Astyanax mexicanus: one gene and its partner. The protein of the gene in region 1 interacts with the protein of each later gene in a pairwise test. Links are inferred from orthologs where the notes say so. Each region holds a gene or a part of one and is shown on either strand. Other genes may lie near its edges. The genes, in order: prkcz and pard6a.

Region 1 (8,563 bases):
TGCCCGCTGCGTCACCAGAGGAGTGTCCACACCACTCTTATACAGGTAGAAATCAATAGGGTGCCGCCAGTAGGGGGCAGTGCAGGTGAAGAGGACAGCCTCTCCAGCTGAATACGCAGAGAAGGGGGACTGCATGGTCAGGGTGGGCGCAGGAAGTTTATCTGCAGAATAAAATGTAAGGTCACTGATTAGAGTTCAGTCCTGTTAAGACTGTTAACAAAGTGAGTCTTTCATACTGTATATTATCTTTATATCTTCAGAACTCCAGTGCTAATTGTTGGGATATAAGCTTCCTTTCCTTTCTAGCAACATAAGCCTCATAGCTCCAGTGCTAATTGGATCATAGATTCAGCACTAATTAGTGGGATATAAGCATCTATTGCTTGTCTCTCACCTGTGCACTCCACTCCTGCATCTTCGTTGTGTAAACACACTCCATCGTTGGTGGTGCGCTCGCACAGGTCCAGTGTGAACTCGTCCCCTGAGCACCCGACGTTCCTCCACCACACCTCCCCGATGGATCGGCTGTAGTGTGCCCCCGGCCGTGTGGTGAAGGCGAAGCCACAGTCCAGCTCTCTGCACACCACTGCTGCATCCCGCAGATCCCACCCCTGAGAACACACTGTGCCCCACCGCTCACCTATAAACACCTCCACACGGCCAGAGCAGCGGGACCCCTCCACACTGCCCAGCCTCACCCGCAACTCATCTAGAGACAGAGACAGAGATAGAGAGAGAGAGAGCGCGAGAGAGGGAGAAAGAGACAGAGAGAGGTTACTACACAATCCAGCATTGAAGATCACACTAATAACAGATTACACTAATTCTAGAGTTTGAAGTGGAAAGAACTCTGGTGTAAAATTGACTTTGGGTGTAGTAAAACATGATAAAGAGTACTAACCTCTGTTGAATAGCACACCTCCGCTCTCCTACACCTTTCAGCGATCCAGTAATTTTGTACGGTTTCTCCAAACATGCTTTAGAATGGATGATATGGGGCATATTTTTAGGTTAGGTTATGCTATGGGTTGTGCACAGTGGTTTTAATAAGCTTCTTGCGCACTTTCAAAGTTATTAATGCCTCCTTTAAAATGTCAGAGCTCTCCGGATTCTAACAATAAGGTGTGGAGCTACTTTGAGCCTGAATAACGGTGTAAAAAGTGATTTATCTGCAGGGGCAAAATATGTTTGGAGAAACTGCACAAAATTACTGGATCTCAGAAAGCTGTGGGAGAGTGGAGGTGGACTATTTTCATGTTTTACTACAAAGCACCTGATCTTTTCTGTATAGCTGCAACAGAACTGCTGTAGGAGAGCAGGCAGGTTCTGCATCACATGTTCACTACACAAAGAATCTACTGGAGAACAGTGATGGAAAGGGAAACTGGAACAGCATTTGGTTTCATATCTCTGACCTGTCCTCTATTAGTGCTGTTGTGTTGGTTGTGTACAGTGATCAACTTACCGAACCCCAGAACGTTCCAGACAGAGACTTGTCCGACTGTTCAAAAAGAAAAAAGAAGATACAAACTGTTATGCATCAAAATAAATATTGGACTAGTATATTCTTCAAATTAATAATATACTTATTAATCTCCAAGAATATCATGAACATTACATAGATATTTTTAGCAACACCAGAAATTCATGCATTAGATGACAGTGTACAAAGAACTACCAGAAGGTACGGTGTGTATAAAAACAGTGTTGTATTAATAAACCAACTGTGCACTTTCAAAGATCTCATTGCCTTATTTTATTTTATTTTTACCCCCAAAAAATTAAGAAAAGCAACAAGAGATTAACAATTTAGAACTGACAGTATCTATTTCAAATTGAAAGATCTCTTGCAAGGCTTTGTGTATCCTCTTCCAGTAATTTAATACTGGGGCAGTGCCAAAAAATATATGGTAATGGATAGCATTTAGATTTCCATAGTTTCTCCAGCACACTGGGGGGTTTTTATCATACAATTGGGTATAAAACTTCATTGTTTCATTTTTGTTCCATTTACTTTGGTGAGAAAGATACTGATCTGTTTTTCAGTCTTTAGTTTTTCATTTCTCCCTTTCACTAACAAAATAAAAAAAAGTGATCTAAATTATTTTTAATGATTTTTCAATTTGTGTATCTTGTAACAGTAATCTGATAGTATAAAGGAACTTACTTTTGTTACAAAATGTAAAAATCTAAAAATTAAGAAAGATTTTTTATTTTCCCTGAAATTCTAAAGTTATATATATATATATAAACTTCTTCTATACTACACTATATGGTAAAAATGAAAAAGATAAGTAAATAAGTAAGTTATGTTAGCGAAACGCAGAAATGAAAAACTAAAGATAGGAAAACCAGATCAGTTTCTTCTAAAAAATTAAATAATGAAGTTTTATACCAATTGTTAATGAAAATTTTAGCCTGAAATGGTATGAAAATTAAACTGATAAATTTTACACTGACCAATAACCTGTATTACCACACAAAGTTTTAAAGATATTTAGAGCTGAGAAATCTCCTATAAAACAGAAGATCTCTGAGTCTGAGATAAAAACAGGAGCAGTGTTAAATGATCGAATTTGATGAAGGAGAGCAGGCTGAGTTAACGCTACTGACCCAGCAGAGCTGTGAGCAGCACAATCATCTCCATCTCTGATCCATAAATTAGCGGGTTTAAGGTGTGAAACCCACAGGACCGCAGAACTGACCGGTCCAAACCTCCAGCCCGGACCCGAACCTCGCCCCGATCTTCTCTAATAATACAACATCTCCGACCTTCCCGAGCTGCGGCATATTAGCTAGCTAGGTTAGCTAGCCAGCATGCTAAGCTCTGCTGCTCTGAAGAGATGCAGTGAAAGCTTAAGCTAAGCTAACCTAGCTAGCCTGTGTGCTAACTTTACCTCAGCTCTGAGGTAAAACAAAAACTCAAACAGCGAAAATATCGATTATTATCCCACAACACAAACTATCCGTCCCGCACAGCCTCCAGCAGCTCGGGGATATCAGATATAATCGATATTAAACCTGATTACAGGTGTAGTTAAATATTCTCACAGGCAGGTTTAGCGGCTAGCAAAACTAATCTGAGGGAAAAGCTCTAAAAAAAGCGCCTCAGTCTTAAAGCTGTACTCTCCCTCTAATCCACACCTGTGTGTGTGTGTGTGTGTGTGTGTGTGTGTGTGTGTGTGTGTGGGCATTGTGTTCCTAAAATACTTCCACGATATTTTAGGGTATTTTTGCTATAAAAATATTTTTGGCGATATGATTTTTACTAATTTACTAATTAATACTAATTTTTTACTTACATTATACTAATTAATTTTAAGAATATATTACTGGGAAAAAAATATTAAGAGAATTTTAGAGTTTTATACATTTGAAGCAAAAACATTAATACTAACTTTACCTTAACATTTTATTTTATATTTAAAAAAAAAATACTAAAATAGTGTAACAAAATGAAAAAAAAAAACATAAATAATGTAACAACAAACTAATTCAGTCACAGCTGAATTTTTAGTACTTGCATAAAAAAACGTTTTCATAATGTTAATAATTGTCTAGAAATGTGAGAAACGTTATAATTATGTTGCGATACAATTTTTTTTTGACATTTTAATGTCACATGTTACATAATAACCTTTCCAAAACCTTTTTAAAACGACCAGTAGGGTAAAGTGTGCCATATTGCAATATATCATGATTCAGTTATACTGTGATATCAGCTGTATTTTGTTTTGAAAGCAGTCTACTCTGTATTTGTTTTGCTTTTTAAGCTTTAAAAGTTTTTACTGTAAAATATATTAATCCTAACACACACCTTCTGTTTTGAAAGGGCTGCTGAATCTTACTCAGCCTGCAGGTGGCGCCAAAACACCAGCCTTTCAGCTTTCAGTCAGTAAAGCAGGTAAATGCGTATGAAACAAAAATAATTGGATTACAAATAACTAAAGAAAATGCCACAATAATAATAATAATAATAATAATAATAATAATAATTTTTATCCTCCATATTTATATTGTTATGTCTGTTAGACCCTACACCAAAAAGTTAGGTTTATTAGTGAAGGCTGTGGTTCTACATGGATTAATGACAACTAAAACAACTATTTCAACGTCTGACTGGTTCTTTGCCTTATTATAATTTTTTTTACTAATAAAAAGTAAACAAACAAAATAAATAATTCTAGTATAATGTGGTGGAACTTGGACACATAACATATATTGAACTTTCTCCGACCCAATCCCAGAATGTTCTGACTTAGGCTCAGAAACTTTTACGTAAATACAGAATATACACTCATAAATACTCCACTGTAATTGTAAAGTGCATTTACACTTTTCTTACTTTATGTTTATTTGGATATAGTATTCTAATGTTATCTAGAGGTTATTACAGGTAGACACTCACTGGTCACTGACTTTATGTTTATTTGGGTTTAGTGTTATAATGTTATGTAGAGTTAATTACAAGTAGACACTCTCACTGGTCACTGACTTTATGTTTATTTGGGTTCAGTATTCTAGTGTTATATAAAGTTAATTACAGGAAGACACTCTAACTGACCACTGACTTTATGTTTATTTGCGTTTAGTATCATAATGTTATATAGAGTTAGGTACAGGTAGATACTCTTACTGATCACTTAATTTATTCTTGTTTGGGTTTATTGTTATTGTTTTATTGTTTTATATGTTATATAAAAATAATTACAGGTAGACACTCACTGACCACTGACTTGATGTTTATTTGGGTTTATTATAATGTTATATAGAGTTAATTACAGGTAGACACTCTCACTGACCAGTGACTTTATTTATACATCACTAGCAGGATTTTTAAGTTAATTGAAGGTAAGTGGATTATCACAGTGTTAGCCACTGTGAGACTGGAAGTGTGTGAGGGGTGTGTGTGAGTGTGTAAGTAATCCCGTTGCTCTGTTTAGGGAGGGTGAGTGTCCGTACCCGGAGCGCGCAGGTCGGTCATGGGAAGCGCGTGCACGCGCACTACCAGCACAATAAACCCAACAGGTGTGTGTATGGGTGTGTGTGAGTGTGTGTGTGTATGGGAGTGTGTGTGTTTGTAGGCAGCCCCGGGTCCAGCAGTGGGGTCAGCGGGGCGCTGTGGGAGCTGTAGCCGGACTTGGAGCCTCACAGCCCGGCCAACTGCCCCTAGGAGCCCCGGCAGGTTAGCGCGGATAGTTGGCGGAGACTCCTTTAGCAGCACCGGGAAGAAGACGGCGAACATGCCGGTCAGAAACGGCTCCATGATGGAAATACATGAGGAATATGTGAAGATAAAGGCTCATTACGGAGGGTATGTTTACTTTTAACTTGTTTAAAAAGCTTAAGTTTGCTTTTTATTTCTAACTCTCCAGTCCACCTTAAATGGTGCAGCATAACACTATAACCCCCGAAGCGTCTGAACGTAAACTGATGCACTATTTAAGGTGGAACGGGGAGTTCCAAAAAAAAAAAGTTTTCAACTTTTTTTTTTTAGCTAAATTTAATATAACGTAATAGTGTTAATTACTGACTGTAGATTAAAATAGACAGGTTGTAATATTTATTTGAACCAGTTAAATAAGCTCATCTGTAGTTTACTGGATAAACTGAACACTTCTTTTCTGAACTCTACAGCTAGCCTGCTAACTCTGTTATCTTTTCTTCCTCCCTTCCCTTTTAAAAGCTGAACTTATCTCCTCTTATCTTCTTGAGAAACACTTCATTTAAGCTCCAGCTCTCTCTGCTTGCTTTACTCAGCCTTAGGCCCAGTGCCTGCCTAATGAAACAGAACCGGTTGCCAGGTCTGTCTCCTTCCAGTTCAGAGGCTTAACTGTTAATTTATTTATTTACACCTTCAGAGCTCTCCTGTAATGATCTGAGCAACTTTTCCTGAAGTTAGTCATTAAGACAGATTGTTACCTAACTCCATCACTGGTCATGTGGGGGAGCCTGTCATGGAGAAATTTCACAGGGGTGTGTTATTTAATAGGGCAATGCCATACATATCTAATCACTATAATTTTTTACTTTTTATTTCCTGTCATGGAGGCGTCCACCCTGTTATGACAAACTGCGGGATAGACGATTTTAGTTAAAATTGCTAGAGCTGAAACCGAGCTGTTAAACTGTTCATAGTGACCTTGTTTTGTTTTAAAGATAATTTTGATCTCAAAAATAGTTTATAAAAATTACCATGATATGTAGGGAGACAATATGAGAGTTATTAAGTGAAATAAATCTTATTAATTGCTGAACATGCAGCAGCAAGTGATTTCAGTACCTTGAAAATAAACAGTGTGAATGTTGTGATGCCACTGAGGTCAAATGCCTAAATAATTAAGAACATGTTTAAATAAAATAAGAAATACGTTATTTAACGACCTAAAAGAATTACTGTTTCAGCTCCACCCATTTTAAGTTAAAGAAGTGTTGCAGCATAGACTTCTTCATGGATGTAGTAGAGAGGTGAGTTAATTAGTGTATCTGCTTGTTTTGTTTGTAAAGTGGAGAGACATCACTGAAATATGGCGTTGGAAGAGGAACTGGGTTTGGGAGCTGAGGGCTAAAAGAGAAGTGCAGAGATAAGGGTTGAGTAGGAGTTCAGGGTTGAGGAGCAGTTCAAGAATGAGGAGATAATGGTTGAGGAACTCATGTTTGAAAAACTCAGTGGTGTGGAGGAGCAAAGGGGTTAGGAGCTCATTAAGGAGCTTATAGTTTAGGAGCCCAGGCCTCAGTTGGAGCTCAGGATTTGGAACTCAATATTAAAGGGGAGATCAGGATTGAATAAGAGCTCAGTGTTGAAGTGAACCTCAGGGTTGAGAAGCTCAGGGATGAGGAGGAGATCAGGGTAAAGGAGCTCAGGAGGGAAGAGCTCAGGGTTGAAAACTGAAAAATGAAGTGCTTAGCGTTAAAGAGGAGATCAGGGATGAGAAAGAAGGAGCTTAGGAGTGAGGAGCTTGGAAATGAGAAACTCAGGGTTGAGGAGTTGCTGAGGTTTGAGGAGATGCTCATGGCAGAGTAAGAGCTCAGGGTTAAGGAGATGCTCAGGGTTGAGGAGATGCTCAGGGTTAAGGAGGTGCTCAGGGTTGAGGAGATGCTCAGGGTTGAGGAGGTGCTCAGGGTTAACCAGGGTCTCAGCATTGAGGAGGAGCTCAGTGTTCAGGAACAGCTTAGGATTGAAGAAATCATGGGTGTGGAGGAGCTCAGGCTTCAGGAGGAGCTCAGGAGATAAAAACTGCGTGTGTGTGTGTGCCTGTGTGTTGCTGCCTCGTCTCACACACACTATAAGTCTGTCAGTTGCCTAGCAACCAGAACTGAACCCAGAAGATCCCAGAGAGTTCTCTCGCCTGTATATTTTGTCTAGTTGTGTGTGTTTAGTCTGTTTCACACTGTTAGACCGAGTTAAACCTATTTATTTAAACCAAGTTGATCAGAATTCAACTTTCAGAAGAGTGAAGTGAATCTAAATTAAAATGAGTTAAACCAAGCTAAACAGAGTTACGCTGAGTAAGAATTGAGTCACACTGAGTTAAAAGTTAAACTGAAATATTTATATTACCTTCTTCTTATATTTATCTTCACCTTCTTTACTTTTACTTTCTATACCTTGCTGAAACCACTGGCCAGTGATTGGAATCAAAGATGTTTGTAATAATAAAATAAAGTGCTCAGAGAGAGAAAGCACAAGGTGGGGTGTTTCTGATAAAGTGGCCAGGTGTGTGTAAAAGACTGTGTTGTTTGTCATATTCCAGTCTGATGTAAATTCCTGTGGAGCTGTAAAGTGTGTAATGATTAATCTAGGTGGGGGGGGGGAGGGGGAGGGCTGGTTTATGATATGATAGTAAAGTTATAAATACTCAGGAAATTCCTGGTTTGAGGCCGCAGAAAGGCCTCAGTATCAGGAGTCTGTAATTTATCTGTAATTTCTGTTTCGTTCTGTGGACTTTTAACCCTGTAGCTCCGTCTACTAAATTGCCAGAAATGTACTGATCACCTATGATCAATAACTGATCACCTATGATCAATAACTGATCACCTATGATCAATAACTGATCAACTGAGATCAGTAACTGACTAACTGACATAAAAAAATAACCAGATGACATTGATAACTGATCAGTTGCTATCAATTACTGATCACCTGTGGTCAATAACTGATCAGCTGCTATCAATAACTGATCAGCTGAGATCAGTAACTGACTAACTGAGTGTTACATTGGTAACTGATCAGCTGCTATCAATAACTGATCAGCTGATATCAGTAATTGACTAACTGACATCAAACAATAACCCAGTAACATTAATAATTGATCAGCTTCTATCAATAACTCCCTGCCTGGGTCATCCGTGACAAACTGATCAGCTGAGATCAGTAATGGACTAACTGACATCAAACAGTAACACAATGAAATTAAAAATTTATCAGCTGCTATCAATTACTGATCAGCTGATATCAATAATTGACTAACTGACATCAAACAATAACCAGATGTCATTAATAACTGATCAGCTGTTATCAATAACTGAACAGCTGATATCGGTAATTGACTAACTGATATCG
Region 2 (7,926 bases), on another chromosome or scaffold:
CTTTCTTTGACCAAGAAGAGAAGGTCAACACACTTCAGATTCACTGCCAAGGAAAAGCAGCGAGCCCTGCCACTCTACTATTTACTGCCTTCAGACAATATTTCGAAAGTCAGACCCGGCCGTCTGCCCACATCCGACTCCAGCCCTTGTCTGTCTGAAGTGGCACCGACCACAGCAAGACCTCTAATTTTATAAGATACGAGAAAACAACGAGAAAAATGCTGAATTTTTGCTTCTCCTATTCTTAGCTTTCACGCAGTTCTCATGGTGTGCTGGTCTGACATTCCTTCGGTAGGGAGAGCGACACACCACAGTGAGCCTGGCTGCTGCTTTCCTTTTTGAAATTCTTGGGGTAAACACAACAAACACAACATGTGCAAAAACACCATGGTCAGCAGCAGCTTGTGGTTAAAAAAAATCAAAGCTCTAAAACAGCAATAAGACTAAATGACCAATTCTTCCATCCGTTTATCATGAAAGTTTCACCTCATTGTAAATTGCAGATGAACGTTTTCACTGTATTGATCAATACAGATGTTTAAAACTTCAGCATAATTAAATGGTTATTTTCTGAGAAATTTGATTTGAGGTTGAACACTGTCTAGCATGCTCAGATGAGAAAGGTGACATTAATTACCATATTTTGAAGGGGGTGTAATAGTGGATGCTAGATGGATGGGATATTCAGTTTGGAAGTTGTTCAGGCATTTAACAATTCACAATGTCACCTCTGTAGATAAACACTTAATAAGGCATTACCACCCACAGTAGACAGCCCAAGGGTGGTAATGAACTTGGCCAGTAATATCTGGGGAGAACTGTCAATGAACAGACATACAATTTGGCAGTCTTGGGCATTCTGGAAAAAAGTGGCATGTTACTGTATAAATAATGTCATCCAGCACGACTTGGTGTGTAATACTCTGGTTTAGAGAGCTCACCAGATCTAAATCAGTTAAAACTTATCAAAGAACAATTTCTTAAAATCCACATAAATACATTAATGACTGAGGCACTGTTTACCAACAGTTGTGAGGTTAGATTTGTGACTTTAAATGTACCATTTAATCCACTTACATTGTAGAATTTCACTCTCAGGCAATTCAGTCCCCTAAAACCTTTTCTAACAGATATGCTGTAGGGTTGGGTTATTAATCGAAAAATAATCAATACTGACATTATAAACCTCTGACCGTATCAACCTTTTCTTTTAAAACATTCTGTTACTGTTGTTACTAATACCTTCCTCACTGCCTGTGTGTTTATGTACTCATAAGACTCCACAAAGATAAATCTGCTATGGAAGCCACAATCATCATAATCAGTCATCACTACATATGACACTCAGGAGACTCATTGGTGTGAAGGTCCATTGGTCATTTCAGGTAGTTAAAAAACAGCTTTATTTCAACTGAATCCTATGGGTGTAAGAAAATTATGTCAATATGTCAAAGTAGCACAATATTATGTTTGGCAATACTGTATCGATACTAAACACTGAGATATGTAAAGTTTGGTGTCAGACACTGTTTTTTCACTGCGTTTAAACCATCTGTACTGTCCTTATTGGATAAAAAAGACACCCAAAACAATTTAAAGAAAGCATAGCTACCCAGCGTTGATATAAAAGCTAAAAGACACCTGTGCAGCTGACCAAACATCACAGTGAGAGTCAGGTGACAAGAAAGTGTCATCTTCTCACGGCTGAGAGAATAAGACCATTTGTGCTCTTTCGGATACCGGCTGCTGATGGCAAGCAGTGTGATCCAGGAGTCAGACACTGTTTTTTGCACTGTGTTTTAGTAGATAGCCTGGCCTGAGATCCCTACTGCTCTTATTGAATAAAAAGGGCATGTATATATGTATATATGTATATATGTATATATATATATATATATATATATATATATATATATATATATATATATATATATACATATATATAAATAATTGTATATATGTGTCTAATTGTATCATCAGAATTGTGCCAGCCCGTGCTCTCAGCCCTACTCCCGTGCTCCCTTAGCTGTGAAGAAGCTTGGCTTCTCCATCACCACCAGTGTAAAGACTGGGTAAGACTGGTAGGGGGGGAGCATGTGACCAGTCAACAACAGCCTGGGTTTGTTTACACACGAGAGTATCAGTGTCATAGCGAAGACACTGACATCCAGCCACGGTTTACTTGCGAAATGTGTAAAATTCGGACACTACATCAAACAGTGGAAGACACGTAGGGTACCATTTCACAGTCGAGTGTGTACCCGGGGCTACAGCTTTCTATAGGCGGCAGTTCGGTGTCCATGCTCTGTGTGTGTGTGATGTCCTCGCAGTGCTGACCCTCATCGTTGCTGTATACGGGCAGTGGTTTGATGGCAGGTGGGCAGAATCAGACGGATGGTTGATATTTTACCGCACCGCTGCACGGTGTCCAACATGCATAATTGATCACCGGGGCCCGGTCGCTTCACTGCGCACGAGCGTCCATAGCATCGAGCGTGCGCACACACACACACACACACACACACACACTGCACCAGCACTGCGCTCCACCACCGGGGGGTGTTCTGTCGAGTTGTGCTACCCATCGATACGTGCTTCCTAAAGGCACTGCGCATGCGCTGATCTACACTTTTTATTTCTTTATCGTGTTTCTTTTGTTTATTAAAAAAAATCTATAAAAAATATAACTCACTGTCATTGCAGAAGTGTAGATGGAAACTAATAATAATAAAAAATACAATTATTATTATTTAAAAAAAAATAAGAAAAAGCTGTTTATAATAACCTCTCTTTGTCATGACTTTACCATGATACAGTGATTTATGCTATCCAAATAAACTACCCTACTAACCCACACCTACTGGTAACATGCTGTAGTAAGGTGCTCATTTAATGTTTTTACAGTTAAATATATACTAGGGTAGCACGGTCTGATAAGGTAGCAAAACTTGACAGAACACCGGAGCCCGAGCCGCTCAACTTGGGCTCAAGCCAAACACATTTGTCGTCTTGCACCTAGCACACACACACACACACGCGCACACGCACATGCACGGACACCTAGCTGTACGCACGGGTTCGGGCGCGCACGACTGAGACACACTTACTTTGCTCTTCACCTCCACCACGGTGTCCGTGCTCTTCAGCGGCGTCCTCTGGTTCCTCGACATCGTTAGTAGTGTGTGTGTGTGTGTGTGTTTGTGTGTATTCCAGTCACGGCTCGTTCCGCTCTCTCTCTAAATCCCTACAGAAGGCAGCGCGGAGGGCGCGCGCTCGCTCTCAGCAGCAGTAGTAGCGGCGGTGTTGAGAGCAGCATGGATGGATGGGTGTCTGTCTGTCTGGGAGCGGAGGGCGGGAGGGCGCGCGCAGCTCTGTTCGATCCGCAGTACTGGCGGGCAGCGCGAGCTCTACCGTTAGAGGCTGCTGCTCCCGGAGTGGGCGGCGCCCGTTCCCCTTCAATAACAATGACGTAAGCACCCACGCCGTCCCGCCCACGGTAAAGGCACGCCCGCACGAGGAACGTCACCGCCAGGGAGCAGGCCAGGTAGTAGTATCAGCACTTAATAAATAAATAATATATAAAAAAAAAATTCTGATATTCTTTTACATTTAGATTTTTTTTGGTTTACCTTGTTAGACAGGGTTTATCAAACTCAATCCAACCACCCAATCAAAACCTTTTTATTACAATTTCTATACTACAAATGCAAATAAATTGCTATTTCAAATGTTTGAATGTGTGCTTGGTCAGAATATTAACCAAATAAAAAAACTGCAGTCACAAATAAATACATAAATAAATTAATGTATTAATTAACTAATTAACTAGTACTAGCACTTGTTACTAATGTGAAAAATAAATAAACAAACAAATACACTGCCTGGCCAAAAAAAGTCAGCACCAAAAAAAGGTCACACACTAATATTGTTTCCATAAGCTTCTGCAATGTCACAAGACTTATTTCAATCCAGTTTTGCATTAATTTTTTACCAACATTTTGCATTGATTACTATATAACAAATTTGTTTATTTGCTTATATTAAAGAGGTTTCATAATCAGATTAAGGGTGCTTTCACACCTGAAAGTCCGGACCGTGGTCCGAACCAAGGTTCATGTGTTGCTACATTGTATATATTTGGTCCGCTTATTTTTGTTTTCACACTGCAGTTTAGGGAGCGCACCAAAGACCTTTGTGTGATACTCCTACATCCTTTCATCACTTACGTATCGATGCGTTTTCCTTAACTTGACGCTGATTGGTTTTGGAAGGACATGCGTCTGACGACAATTGATTGATAATTCAGCGGGTGGTTCATTCGATGGAAAGCCTTTCCAGGATAAGGATGAAATTAATGAACAGATTAATTTCGTCTACATAGTAGTGCTGCTATTGTGGTTTTTATACCAGCAGCAGCAACTTCAGGCACAGTACTCTAGGTTAGTTCAAATTCGCTAAACGAACGTGCTTGTCCTGAAGCAACTGTATCCACGGCTCATTTTTCCTGCTTTTCCGGTTATTTTGAGAGGGTACTGACTGCAGCCTGCAGGAAGGCGGAGTTAGACGTCCAGTGCGTCCAGCTCCGCCCACTTTGTAAGCGTCATGCCGTCTAGTCCCGCCCACTTTGTTAGCGTCATGCCGTCCAGTCCCGCCCCTGTACGGAAGTAAACAATGTACAGGGCAGTTAGCGGACTTTAAATATAATGTGCCGCGTCGTACGGCTTAAATACTGTGTATACATTACAACCTTGCGAGACTGACAAGGCGTGGCGTGGACAAAGTGGGTGGGACTAGACGCGCTGGACGTCCAACTCCGCCTTCCCGCAGGATGCAGTCAGTAGTAGCTGGTTATTTTTCTTTTCTGCTGCCGTTGCTGAGGAACGCCTGCTCAGCTTCCTGTAATTGGTCCGAAATTTCGAACCATCCAGAAAAGCGCTTTCACACTGCAGGCGAACTGGACCATGGTTCAAAAGATCCGGACCGAGACCACCTCTCTTGGTCGGACCAAAATCTGGTCGGACGGTGGTTCGCGGCCCCTTTCACACCTGCTAATTTGGTTCGGACCAAACTAAAAAGTACGAAAGTCCGGACCAAGCGAGGCAGGTGTGAAAGCACCCTAAAAATAGCACTTGCTTAATTATCTGAATGCCCTTTCTGCAAGATTTAAAGCAACGTGCAACCCTACACACATTTAAATGGGCTAACGTTTTAGGTTTTTTGTTAAAGCATTTTTCACCATTCACTACCAGAGGAAAAAGTTCATGCAAATCAAGCAGTTGCTTGGAGCTCTGGTCATAGGTCAAATACAACAGACATCAAACTGTGTAATTTTGTGTGGGCTTTGTTAGTGGATGAAATATCACTGATGTTGACATTAGCCCTCTAAATATGCCAGTAGATGAGCATCAACAATTTGTTTGGTTCTCTTTTAGAATAATTTTAGCTATAGTATGCCACTGTACAGTGCCCTTGTTTAATTTGGTGGAACTTAATGTAACTCCATCAGTTCGCCATCATGCAAAATATTGCCGTGTTCATGTGTTTCATCAAACAACAGTTGTTTGAAGGGCATGTATACAAACATGATTATCGAACCAACAATGCATTAAATAATGAATATCTAAAACAATAAAACTACATATATTAAATAATATTGTCCACGTGGCTCTGCAAAGCAAAATAAATTAAAATGAATTAAATTGCCAAAATATCACGTCCACATTGCATTGTGATAGGCGTATTGTGATGAGTACATAATGATGAGACATCTTTAAAATACAAGGAAGTCATGTGTATAGCGCTAAAAAAAGAAAAGTGGTTCATTATGGTATGATGTTCTGGACCTTGGATTTAGAAAACATTATTTTAACAGGACATTAATGAGAATTGATTAAATACTTTTGTTCTGTGGAGTCAGTCAAGGAAATCTTGGCAGTGTCTTCTTTTAAGAATGTAGGCCACAAGTAACAAATAAAAAAAGAATAAATAAAATCTGAATTAAAGTCACGCAGCAGCTTGTCTTAGGAATTCTGTCTGATTTGACATGAAAGTATCTCCTAGCTTAGTGATACATAAGTCAGCTCACTTCAAAACCTTCTCTCAGTTGTTTCTCACAGTGTCTATAGCTGGGAGAAGAGTGAAGTTTAAAATCGCACAACTGCTACTTTTAAATGTGCCAAACCTTTTGTTTATTGCAATGAGCATCAGTGCTTTTAAATTAGTTACACTGAAGAACATTTAATGTGACAAAATGTGAAAATAAAATATATGGAGCAGAAAGATACAATACTTTATGAAAGGGTTCTCAATCATCATGTTCATGTGGGGTTTACATGGGTGGAACATGGGCTAGGTGGGTTCAAGGTGGGCATGGCTCTGAGTGGGTGTTGATGTTTGAGATGGGTGAGATGTTTTTATTAGAACCCAAATGTACTTCAGAAATGAGCCACATCGTCACATCCCACCTTAAGAGGGCAGATGTTTAACCGCTCCTGGTCCCATCACTGACATCCATATGTGGGAACAACAAGGAACCTGTGGATAAAACTTTCTGCTTCCCAATCGGGCTACCCATACAGGCCCCACCTGGGCATGTTATCTGGGTTGTTTTTTATCATAGAGACAAGAACACTGTCTCATTCACACTCTTGTGACCATTCATGGAGGGACCTGCTCTGGAACACATTCCTCAGAACTAGCCCAAAATACCTGAACCACTTAATGGAGATGTCCTTCATTTCAGTACATATTGCTTACAGGACTGTGCATTACTAGCCTCTGTGAAGTGTAGTTGCTTAATAGATGTCATAGATTTCCCTTTCTTTAATATTCATATATATAGTTTTTTTTGTTCATCCATCTAAACTTATACAGTATAAACTTCACAAATGATGATTGGATAGTGCTGTATTGTATGTGTGGTTTCTTTATCACTTAGGCAACAAAGAATCAGAGAGAACTAATTTCTCTGATTCTCTGAAAGCACAAAGTTTGCTCATTACAGCCTTCAACAATAAAACAAGAAAAGCACAACGCAATCATATAACCAGATAGTAACCAGGAAGGTAGTTTGGTTAAGAAAACTCAATGCATTCATGTTTAGATGCAAAACATAATTAATAATATAATATAATATTTTTTTTTAGGTAAAATCAACAGCCACTCAAAACCATGTTTTTCAGTATTGGCTATATGAGTTATAATAATATTAAAAATGTGATGTCAGGGCTTAATTTAAAAATAATGAAATACCAGAACATGGATTGGTTCTCAATTCAATTTCCTGCAACAGGCCAAAAACATTTTATTCCCACCCAGTCCCACCCCACCCACTTCCTCTCTCAGCTCATCAACAAAGTCTTTATCATTAATAAGGACTTTTCGGAGAAGGTCACGGGTGCATGGACTGCCTCACAGGTTTGTTGAGTTTTCTTCTTGTCATTGTTGTCATGTGTCTGTCGGTCATGTCAGTAGTATGATGACCTGTTGCTTTGTTGTTTGACTTATCTCTACATCTTTCAGTTCTTTGTAGATTAGCCATTAGCATGTGCGCTCTCTGATCATAGACAGCAGGAAAAGGTTGTCTGGCCATGTGTGCAGGGTAATTACCTCACTCCTCAGTACACTCATGTATAAACAATTTCACCTGTCAAACCAGATCCTCCTCAGTGAACCCTGTTAAAGAGCGTGGTCAGTAATTAAAGGAAGAATGTACTCATCTTCAGTCATCTGTGAGCCTCTGGTGACTCATGGCATTTTCGTTCAAGGTAGGCCCTTTTTTTCTTTTCTTTTTTGAGAACGTGGATTTGTTTACATCATTTTTATTTCTTGTAAATGTTTACTCTTGAGGACAGTTTCCTGTAATTGTCTGAACGCACTGTTCCGTTACCCTCACTGCTAAAGTTTTAGAGCACATACAAGGTTTCG

The links.
Region 2: the proteins of prkcz (region 1) and pard6a interact in binary tests that used the Homo sapiens proteins (3 or more experiments, as listed by UniProt). The link is inferred for Astyanax mexicanus from reciprocal best matches to the Homo sapiens genes PRKCZ and PARD6A.

Annotation. Positions count from the first base shown.
Region 1 is NC_064419.1:7,968,949-7,977,511, forward strand, and holds the start of prkcz (protein kinase C zeta type), read left to right. Parts: upstream 1-4,797; 5' UTR 4,798-5,243; coding exon 5,244-5,314; intron 5,315-8,563. Other genes in the region: uncharacterized protein si:ch211-150o23.3, read right to left, coding at 1-161, 395-709, 1,466-1,501, 2,614-2,647. UniProt on the Homo sapiens protein: Calcium- and diacylglycerol-independent serine/threonine-protein kinase that functions in phosphatidylinositol 3-kinase (PI3K) pathway and mitogen-activated protein (MAP) kinase cascade, and is involved in NF-kappa-B activation, mitogenic signaling, cell proliferation, cell polarity, inflammatory response and maintenance of long-term potentiation (LTP).
Region 2 is NC_064416.1:25,813,413-25,821,338, forward strand, and holds the start of pard6a (partitioning defective 6 homolog alpha), read right to left. Parts: upstream 3,439-7,926; 5' UTR 3,171-3,438; coding exon 3,108-3,170; intron 1-3,107. UniProt on the Homo sapiens protein: Adapter protein involved in asymmetrical cell division and cell polarization processes. Probably involved in the formation of epithelial tight junctions.